Linked DNA regions of Ovis aries. The protein of the gene in region 2 interacts with the protein of the main gene of each other region in a biochemical or structural test. Links are inferred from orthologs where the notes say so. Each region holds a gene or a part of one and is shown on either strand. Other genes may lie near its edges. The genes, in order: PRKCQ and CARD11.

Region 1 (3,812 bases), on a different chromosome or scaffold from region 2:
CCCAAACAAACAGGCAGACAAAAAAAAATGTCCCACCAGAAATGGATCACAGGCTCCTGCTGGCAAATTTCCATGTCGACACTTAAAATTTTTCACTGTCTTACTAAGTTCAGTTCAGATAAGCAAAGAGATCCATATAACACTTTATTTCCTCTTTCTGAGTATCTGAGAACATTTGCAGCTAATAAATTCTCAACCTTAAGACTGATTCTGTTCACATTCACTATTAGATAGGAAGGAGCTCAAGTCATTAGAGGAAGACAGTCGATGGAAATCCACCAAAAGTCTACCCGACCTCTGGATACCCTGGTTAAGCCAGAGGTTGTGCATTAACAAATCCTGCAAGAACCCAAAGGACTGAAGACCCCAAAAGAGTGGGGGAGGCTGAAACAAGAGATAGGAGTCATTCTGAGTCTCCAGTCTACCGTAGCCTTCGCTGCTGTGGTTACTGAGGCTTGAACCAATCTCTGTTCGGGGGCTGTTTAAGACACCCAAGAGCCTTGTAAACACAGAAACCCATCAGCTCCAATGGGTAAGTGTTGCCTTCTGCAGACATTTAGTTAGCACAGTTGGGTTGTCGAGCTGGTGGCAGTTTTGACTATGAAACTCTGCTTACAATAAAGATCTCTCCCTCTTCTGTCCCTCCCCACTCACCCCTAGAAGCTTCCCATGTAATTGGAAACCAGAGTTTCCTTGAAATCTTTCTTAAGGGAGCTGGATTCCTCATGCTATAGGAGCTCTATTATGAAAATATTCTCTAGAATCACATCATTTGAGCCTTCTCAATCCAGGTGAGGCCACTGGAAATTCTCAGGTAGTACCTATTCCCGTACACTCCCGCAAGGTGGAACATGCCAGGCCTGGTGGATTAAGAAGATGCATCATGGGACTTCCCCGGTGGTTCAGGGTTTAAGAATCTGCCATGCAATGCAGGGGACAGGCGTTCAGTCCTTGCTCAGGGGTCTAAGATCCCACAGGCCTCAGAACAACTAAGCCTGTGCTCTGAAACCTGTGTGCCATAACTAAGACCCAACACAGCCAAATAAATAAACAAACAAAAGAAGTGACACAAGGCATAACCTGAAGCTTGGCGTCACACGCGAGTTACCATACCAGACAAATTCATGGCAGACGGAGCAAAACGTGGGCTGTGGGAAGAAGGTGGCCGTGAACTCATGGCACTTGACGTGGTGGACTTTGGCCTGCTTGATGGCTCCTCGGCGGTGATGTAGAGCAAAGAAGCCATCGGTCTCGAATTCGTTCATGTCCTTTGTGTCTGCAGGAAGAGGGCAGGGACGGTGACCTTCTGCGAAATGGCTGTCACAGCTGGGGGTGAGCAGCGCAGGGGTGGGAAACGGGGAAGGGGCAGAGATGGATGAGGACCTAGACAAGCTTTGAGACCATTAGCATCCCAAGTACTGGGTTGGGCTAAACGCCTATTTGGGTTTTTTCTAAAAGATGTTATGGACATTTTGGCCAACCCAGTATTTCTGAAGTTTGGTACAGTACGAAGTGTCTTTCCTTAGTCCCATAACAGAATTATCAGATGGTGTCCTGTTCCAGGATTGGAACAACAAGGCTGGAATCTTGGCTCAATCCTTCCATCCTCTTTCACGACACTGAGCTATATCCTCTCTCAATTTTTAAAACCAGAAATTGGAACATTTAAGGTATTTATTGACCTTTCCTTGTCACTGTCAGTGATGAGTCAGCCAGAAAAGGCAGGAAGTGGCAAATACTTTGCCTGTAATTCTAAAGAATAATGTGGTACTGAACAGTAAGTTGGAAACTATATATATATATTTTTTAGGTCCCAGAAAATTTTATATCTGGTTGTTTATAGACAAAAAATGTAGACAGGCAGGAGCTGGCCAGATTTCTGAAGGCAAAAAAGCTTTGGGAAGTTGTTTATGCTTTGGTTCCTGAAGCCAATGGGAATCAGATGCACCAGCCATAAAACTATACAGGTCAATGTGGAAAGGGCCGGAAAGGAACGGATGACTGTAATTAAAAAGTGTCTAGATAATCCTGGCTGGTACCTAGTCATCTACATCAAATCACGTTCACATTTCTTCAGTTTACCATGGGCTCTGGGTGCTGGTGAAGGTACTCTGAGTAGTAACTGTCCACAGTACCCACAGCTTCCAAAAGGCTGGAAGAAGTCTGAGAAATACCGGTGAGAATATTCGCCCTGGCCGAAGCCCAGGTCCCCCAGCCAAAACACACAATAGCAAGGTAGTTATGATTGACCAGTACGATGGGCCCTCCAGCGTGCATGGGAGAGTGCATGGTAAAGGAGGCGGAACACAGCTGCCGTCATCACTAAAATACGGATAACGAATTGATGATTCAGTTCCTGCAACTGCGATTCCAAGTAGATTCTTGGATTACTTAGTCTACTTATTTTTTAAATTACAAAAAATGAAGGTTTGGCAAGGATAAGGGGCTCCTGTTTCACAAATGAAGAGAGTTAACAATATTTAAACCCAATTGTTTCCCTTCCGGGTAAGCCATGGCAGTGGCTGGACAACACACTCGAGGCAAGTGATCCTGCCGGAGTATCTTAATTTCCCCACCCCTTTTCAGGGCCAAGCTGGAAGCACACTGGGTAGACAGGGCCGGGGGAGGGTCACGGAGGTGGAGACCCTCCTCCACCGTCCAGCCTAGTGCCAGCACCCATTTCAAGACTGAAGTCTTCTCTCCAAGAGTCCATGGGTCTGTTTTATGGAAACCCCAAACTCTCAGATAAAACGTCACTCTGCTGTACACCTGAAACTAACACAGGATTGTAACTCAACTCTACTCCAAGGAAGATAATAATCAAGCATCCCTAAGAAAGACTTCCTTACACGGCTGAGGACTTTGCCTGATACTTAAAGGATAGGCGATTTAGGTCTTTTTTTTTTTTAAAGGAACTGTGCTGGAAATAAAAAGGCTTGGTGAATTCGGGGTTAGATTTAGGGTCACCGAGGCAACTGCCTTCTCCTATAGGCTCTGGTTTAAGTGTAGAGATCTATTTACAACTCGGGACCGGCACAGGAGGCCATTTGTCGGGAAGCTCTGATTCATTTCTATTTTGGTGCTGATGAAATAAAAGGAAATAAAGCATAAAATTACTTTCGAACTCAGGGAGGGAGGTGAATTATTCTGGGAACTCTATCCATAATACTGTGAAAAATATACAAATATAACCATGTAACAATTACATGGTGGTGGTTTAGTTGCTAAGTTGTGTCTGACTCTCCTGACCCCAAGGACTACAGACCACCAGGCTCCTCTGTTCGTGGGATTCTCCAGGCAAGAATACTGGCATGGGTTGCCATTTCCTTCTCTAGGAGATCTTCCCGATCCAGGAATCGAACCTAAGCAGATTCTTTACTGACTGAATAGTCAGTAAAGCTATTATAATAGTCCGGACTATATACAACTATATGTTTATAAATATAAAATAGTCTGTGTATTAGAACACTGTACATTTAAAAATATGTCAGAGACTGCAGGTAAGTAATTCATTCCCTTGCTCCTTGCTATAATTCCTTTATCCTCTGATCATTTCAATCCTTATAAGAAAGTAAATGTATAAAAGCTCAGAATTTTAAAAATTCTCCTTGTAATTACTGTTTATTTCTGAAGTAATTTGGCCTTCCGTTTGTACATTGGCTTGAATAAGCTCACTGATCTTTATATAGTTGGTTATTTATTTTATAGCAATGGTGCCTAATCTATTTGTTTAACCAATCACTTGCTTTTAGTCAATTAAGTCACACACTTCCTGGAGAGCTATGAGTGAACTGCTATGCAGGACAGTATAA
Region 2 (3,812 bases):
GAGGGTGCCGCTGTCCTTGGAGAGGCGCCGCAGCTTGCTCTCCAGGTTGACGATGCAGGCCTCCCGCCGCACCAGCTCGATGCGCATCTCGTCATTCTTCTCCTCCAGCTCCCGGATCTGCTTCCGGTACTTGTCCTTTTCGATCAGGCACTGGGAGTACTGGGTCTGCGCTTCGTCCCGGGAGTGGAAGGCCTGCCCGGGAGGCGGAGGACAAGGTCGCTGGGTTCTTCCCCACCCCGCCCCCCCGATCCCCCCAAAATCAGACCCAGGACGCCTGCCCTCCCCAGCCCACGTGTCAGCCACAGCGTCTCCGGCCCTCTCCCTGAATCTGACGCTTGGGCGTTTCCACTGCTACCGTCCTCTGCACGTGTTACAGCCCCTCGTGAGTTCACCCCAGCTGTGCGCCCACTGCTGGGCTAAGAGGTCCAAGGCAGAGCCCACCCGCTACCCTACGAGGTGGTGCGGCTGTTCTATTCCCACTCCACAGACGGGAGCACTGAGGCTTCCAGGCAGGGGCAGCGTGCAGCCACACGTCTGAAGAGGGACAGGGCCTGGACCTGGCCATCCGGCTTCGAGGCCCAGGACACTGGCGTCCCATTCAGGCCCCAGCCCTGCTTTTTAAACACCAGTGACACAGCCGGGACGGGATTCATTTTTGGAAGGAAAGCAGGAAGGTGGGGTCCTAGGTGGTTCCCGCAGAGCTGACGGCGTTACCCCGACAACACCCCGCCGCCCCCATGGCCTGGAGCCTGGGCCAGCCGCCGGGTACCTGGTCCCGCTCCCGCTCCACCTCCTCGAGCTGCAGCATGACAGTGTTCATGCGGTGCTTGAACATCTCACAGTCCTTCCCCAGCGTGGAGCACTTCAGCTCCAGGTCCTCCTTCTCCTCCAGGTACTGCGAGCACAGGAGAGAGAATGCTCGCATCAAGCCAGCGACCAACCAGGCCCGACAGCTGGCTGCCAGCCGCGGCTTCCCAGGGCCGGCCTGCCCCTCCCCATGGCGCCTGGCCTTCTGAGAGTCAGCGCTCTGACGCGAAGGGACTGTGGTAAAAGGCCAGCCACCAGCTGCGACCTGAGGCAGGCCTACTATGTGCGGGGGGAGTGGGGTCAGGGTGGACACTGAGTGTGCCCTCCCGTGGCCGCAGCGGTCAGCCAGGGGGCAAGGCCAGTGCCACGCGGACACTTAGAACGGTCCACCAGTGACGGCAGGGTGCTGACACACAGGGACTCACACCAGGACGCAGACTTGGTCCTGGGAGAGAGTGGGGGCCCAGAGGCTCCACAGACAGCCCCGGACACCTAGCCCCGGGCCCCCGCCGGGCGGCAGCCCCGGCCGTCCGAGGCCCACCTTGTCCCTCAGCTCCTCCGCCTGGCGGACCTCCTCCTGCAGGTTGTAGATCTTGTTGACGAGCTCCTGCCGGTCCTCCAGGGCCTCCTTGCGGTCGTGCTCCAGGATGTCCAGGATGGCCTTGTCGGAGTCTGGCAGGCTGCGCTTCCCAGCCTGGGCGGGTGGGGGGGTGGTGTGTGTGTGGGGAAAAGTTTAACGGGGCTGGGGGTGCGGGGCAGGGAGCAAGGAGGCCCAGGAAGGCGGCAGACAGAAGCGCCAGCGACAGACATGCAGTGAGCGGAAGGCTTTGTGCCAGAGAAGCAGGGGCAAGAGTCGCTGTCTCTTGGGGCCCTTAAGCGGCTTATTACTTATGAATTTTATCACCTGGAAAGAAGCATAAAACCCACTTCTGCTCAGAAACATCCCGATGCCTACTGTTCTGCCCTGGCTCTTATCAGAGCCCAGAGAGGCAGCTGTGCAGCTTCTCCGCACATTTCACAGGTGACAACAAAGACGGGGCTGAGCTGCCTTGCAGATGCCTCCCCTGAAACATCAATTAATCTGCTCTGATTAAACCGGGACCCAGTCTCTGCTCTGAACCAGGGCCTTCCACACCAGGCGGCAATGATCCTGGGGGGCACCATTCTTTCTGGGGGAGGGCGCGGGTGCCCTCCTTCCTCCCCTGCACATGGATCTGCGGATGTTTTGCCTCTGTACCCACAGATGACTCTGTGATGATAAAGAAGGGGAGGCCCTCGAAGCTTTAACAAATCCCTCACAGCTGAGAGCTGAGTTTCTTGGAATCTTTAAGGCAAGAAGCTTTTCCCCGAAGTACTTTCCTCATAGTGCCCAGTACACTGATTTTCGTGAAATGGTTCAACCAAGGAAACAACGTCACAAGCGTTACCTCACGTGATGTCTGAGAAGTGGGTGGTGCGGTCACCCCTGCCGACAGAGGAGGAACCAAGGTGCCCAAGGATGATGACGTGAGCTCCCTGTGGTCCCGCGGCCGGCAAGGGGCGCCCTGGCAGGCGTGCGGCCCCCGCCCTCACCTGGATGATGGACTGCAGCTCCTGGATCTTGGTCTTCAGCATCTCGTTCTCCCGCTCCAGCTCCAGGACCTGCTCCTTCTTGGGCCGGTTCTCAATGTCGTTCTTCAGTTTCAGCGACTGGTTCCTCTCCAGCTTGCATTCCTCCTCCATCTTGTTCAGCCGATGCTTTAGCTGGTCTATCTGAAACATCCCCGGGGGGCCAAGGGGAGAGCGAGGTTGCAGGGGAACATTCAGAGAAGGGACTGCCTCCCCACAGCTTGCTGGACTTCTGGCAGGAGCCGTGTTCTGCCCCTCTCTCCTCCTCCAGCTGGTGGCCAGAAGATCTGAAAGGTTCTCCTTCAGTGAAACGACCACTCCCTCCTTGCTGAGGAAGAGGTCCTGGTCTGTTAGTTCAGAACAGTGCTTGGGCAGCTTTGGTCCTCAGAAAACCTCCTCGGGCAATCTTCATGCAGGTGGAACAGGTTACAGGTTAGGATGAGAGGTTCCCAAGCTGGTGTTTCCCTGAGGCACCCTTTCCATTTTAAAGGTCTTTTCTGATAGGTTTCTAACTCTGATCCTCAAAAGACAAGATTCCTGAAGAACCCTAGTGTTTCAGAAGGGGGCAGAGATGGAGGGGAGGGGAATTCGGGCTCTATCTTGACTTCACGCCCCAGCACAGCTCTGCCTGCATGTGATTTGGCCTCGTGGGTTTCATCCAAGATTTTATTTGAAAAAATGGCACCACTGTAAAAGAACAGCTTGAGACTCATTGGACTGCAGGTTGGCAGGATGTTTGGCCTAAAGGACCTGCCCAGACTTAGTGTAAGAAAGACAGCCTTCCTGGAGGAGGCAGTTACTATTCTTGGGACTTTGACAACTGGCGATGTGCTGAGCTTCACCCTCAAGAAGTGCGTGTCAGGAACTGGGGCCAGGAGAAGACTTAAACCCCTGTGACTGTGTTTGTTTGCTTCCCCAAAGGGATCATCGTTGGCCGAACACCTAGTAAGAAGACTGCTTTTACATGCAACAAGGAAGAGATCTCCAAGGGGCGAGTGTCCTTTCTCAGTTCTAGGCTTTTGGGGAGAACACCTCTAGAAATCCAGCAGGTAGAGGGTGGTGGCTTTAGCCAGGAGGGGACCCCAGCTGCACCCCTGTGGCCTGAGAAATGGCCTAGGACTCAGCAGGCCAGATATTCTTTCAACCAAAGAGAAAAGTTCTTTTAAGTTCTGAGATGCTTTCTCGCCATTCCTCTATAATCAGGAAAACATAAAAACAGTCCTAAGAGAGAGCAAGTTTTAAATCTCGACCACATCCTCAAATCCTAGATAAAAACAACATGGAAACCTTTCCTCCTGGTCATGCAAAAAATAAAATAAAAAATCCTCACCATCTTGGAAGATGAACCTAAGTGGCCCTGTTCTAGGTCCATTCGAGTAGACACGAAGTGGGTACTA

The links.
Region 1: of the proteins of CARD11 (region 2) and PRKCQ, one has a biochemical effect on the other in vitro, tested with the Homo sapiens proteins (2 studies listed by BioGRID). The link is inferred for Ovis aries from reciprocal best matches to the Homo sapiens genes CARD11 and PRKCQ.

What each region holds. Positions count from the first base shown.
Region 1 is NC_056066.1:11,293,273-11,297,084, forward strand, and holds part of PRKCQ (protein kinase C theta type), read right to left. Parts: intron 1,277-3,812; coding exon 1,114-1,276; intron 1-1,113. UniProt on the Homo sapiens protein: Calcium-independent, phospholipid- and diacylglycerol (DAG)-dependent serine/threonine-protein kinase that mediates non-redundant functions in T-cell receptor (TCR) signaling, including T-cells activation, proliferation, differentiation and survival, by mediating activation of multiple transcription factors such as NF-kappa-B, JUN, NFATC1 and NFATC2.
Region 2 is NC_056077.1:40,873,153-40,876,964, reverse strand, and holds part of CARD11 (caspase recruitment domain-containing protein 11), read right to left. Parts: intron 2,560-3,812; coding exon 2,380-2,559; intron 1,502-2,379; coding exon 1,349-1,501; intron 896-1,348; coding exon 770-895; intron 193-769; coding exon 1-192. UniProt on the Homo sapiens protein: Adapter protein that plays a key role in adaptive immune response by transducing the activation of NF-kappa-B downstream of T-cell receptor (TCR) and B-cell receptor (BCR) engagement.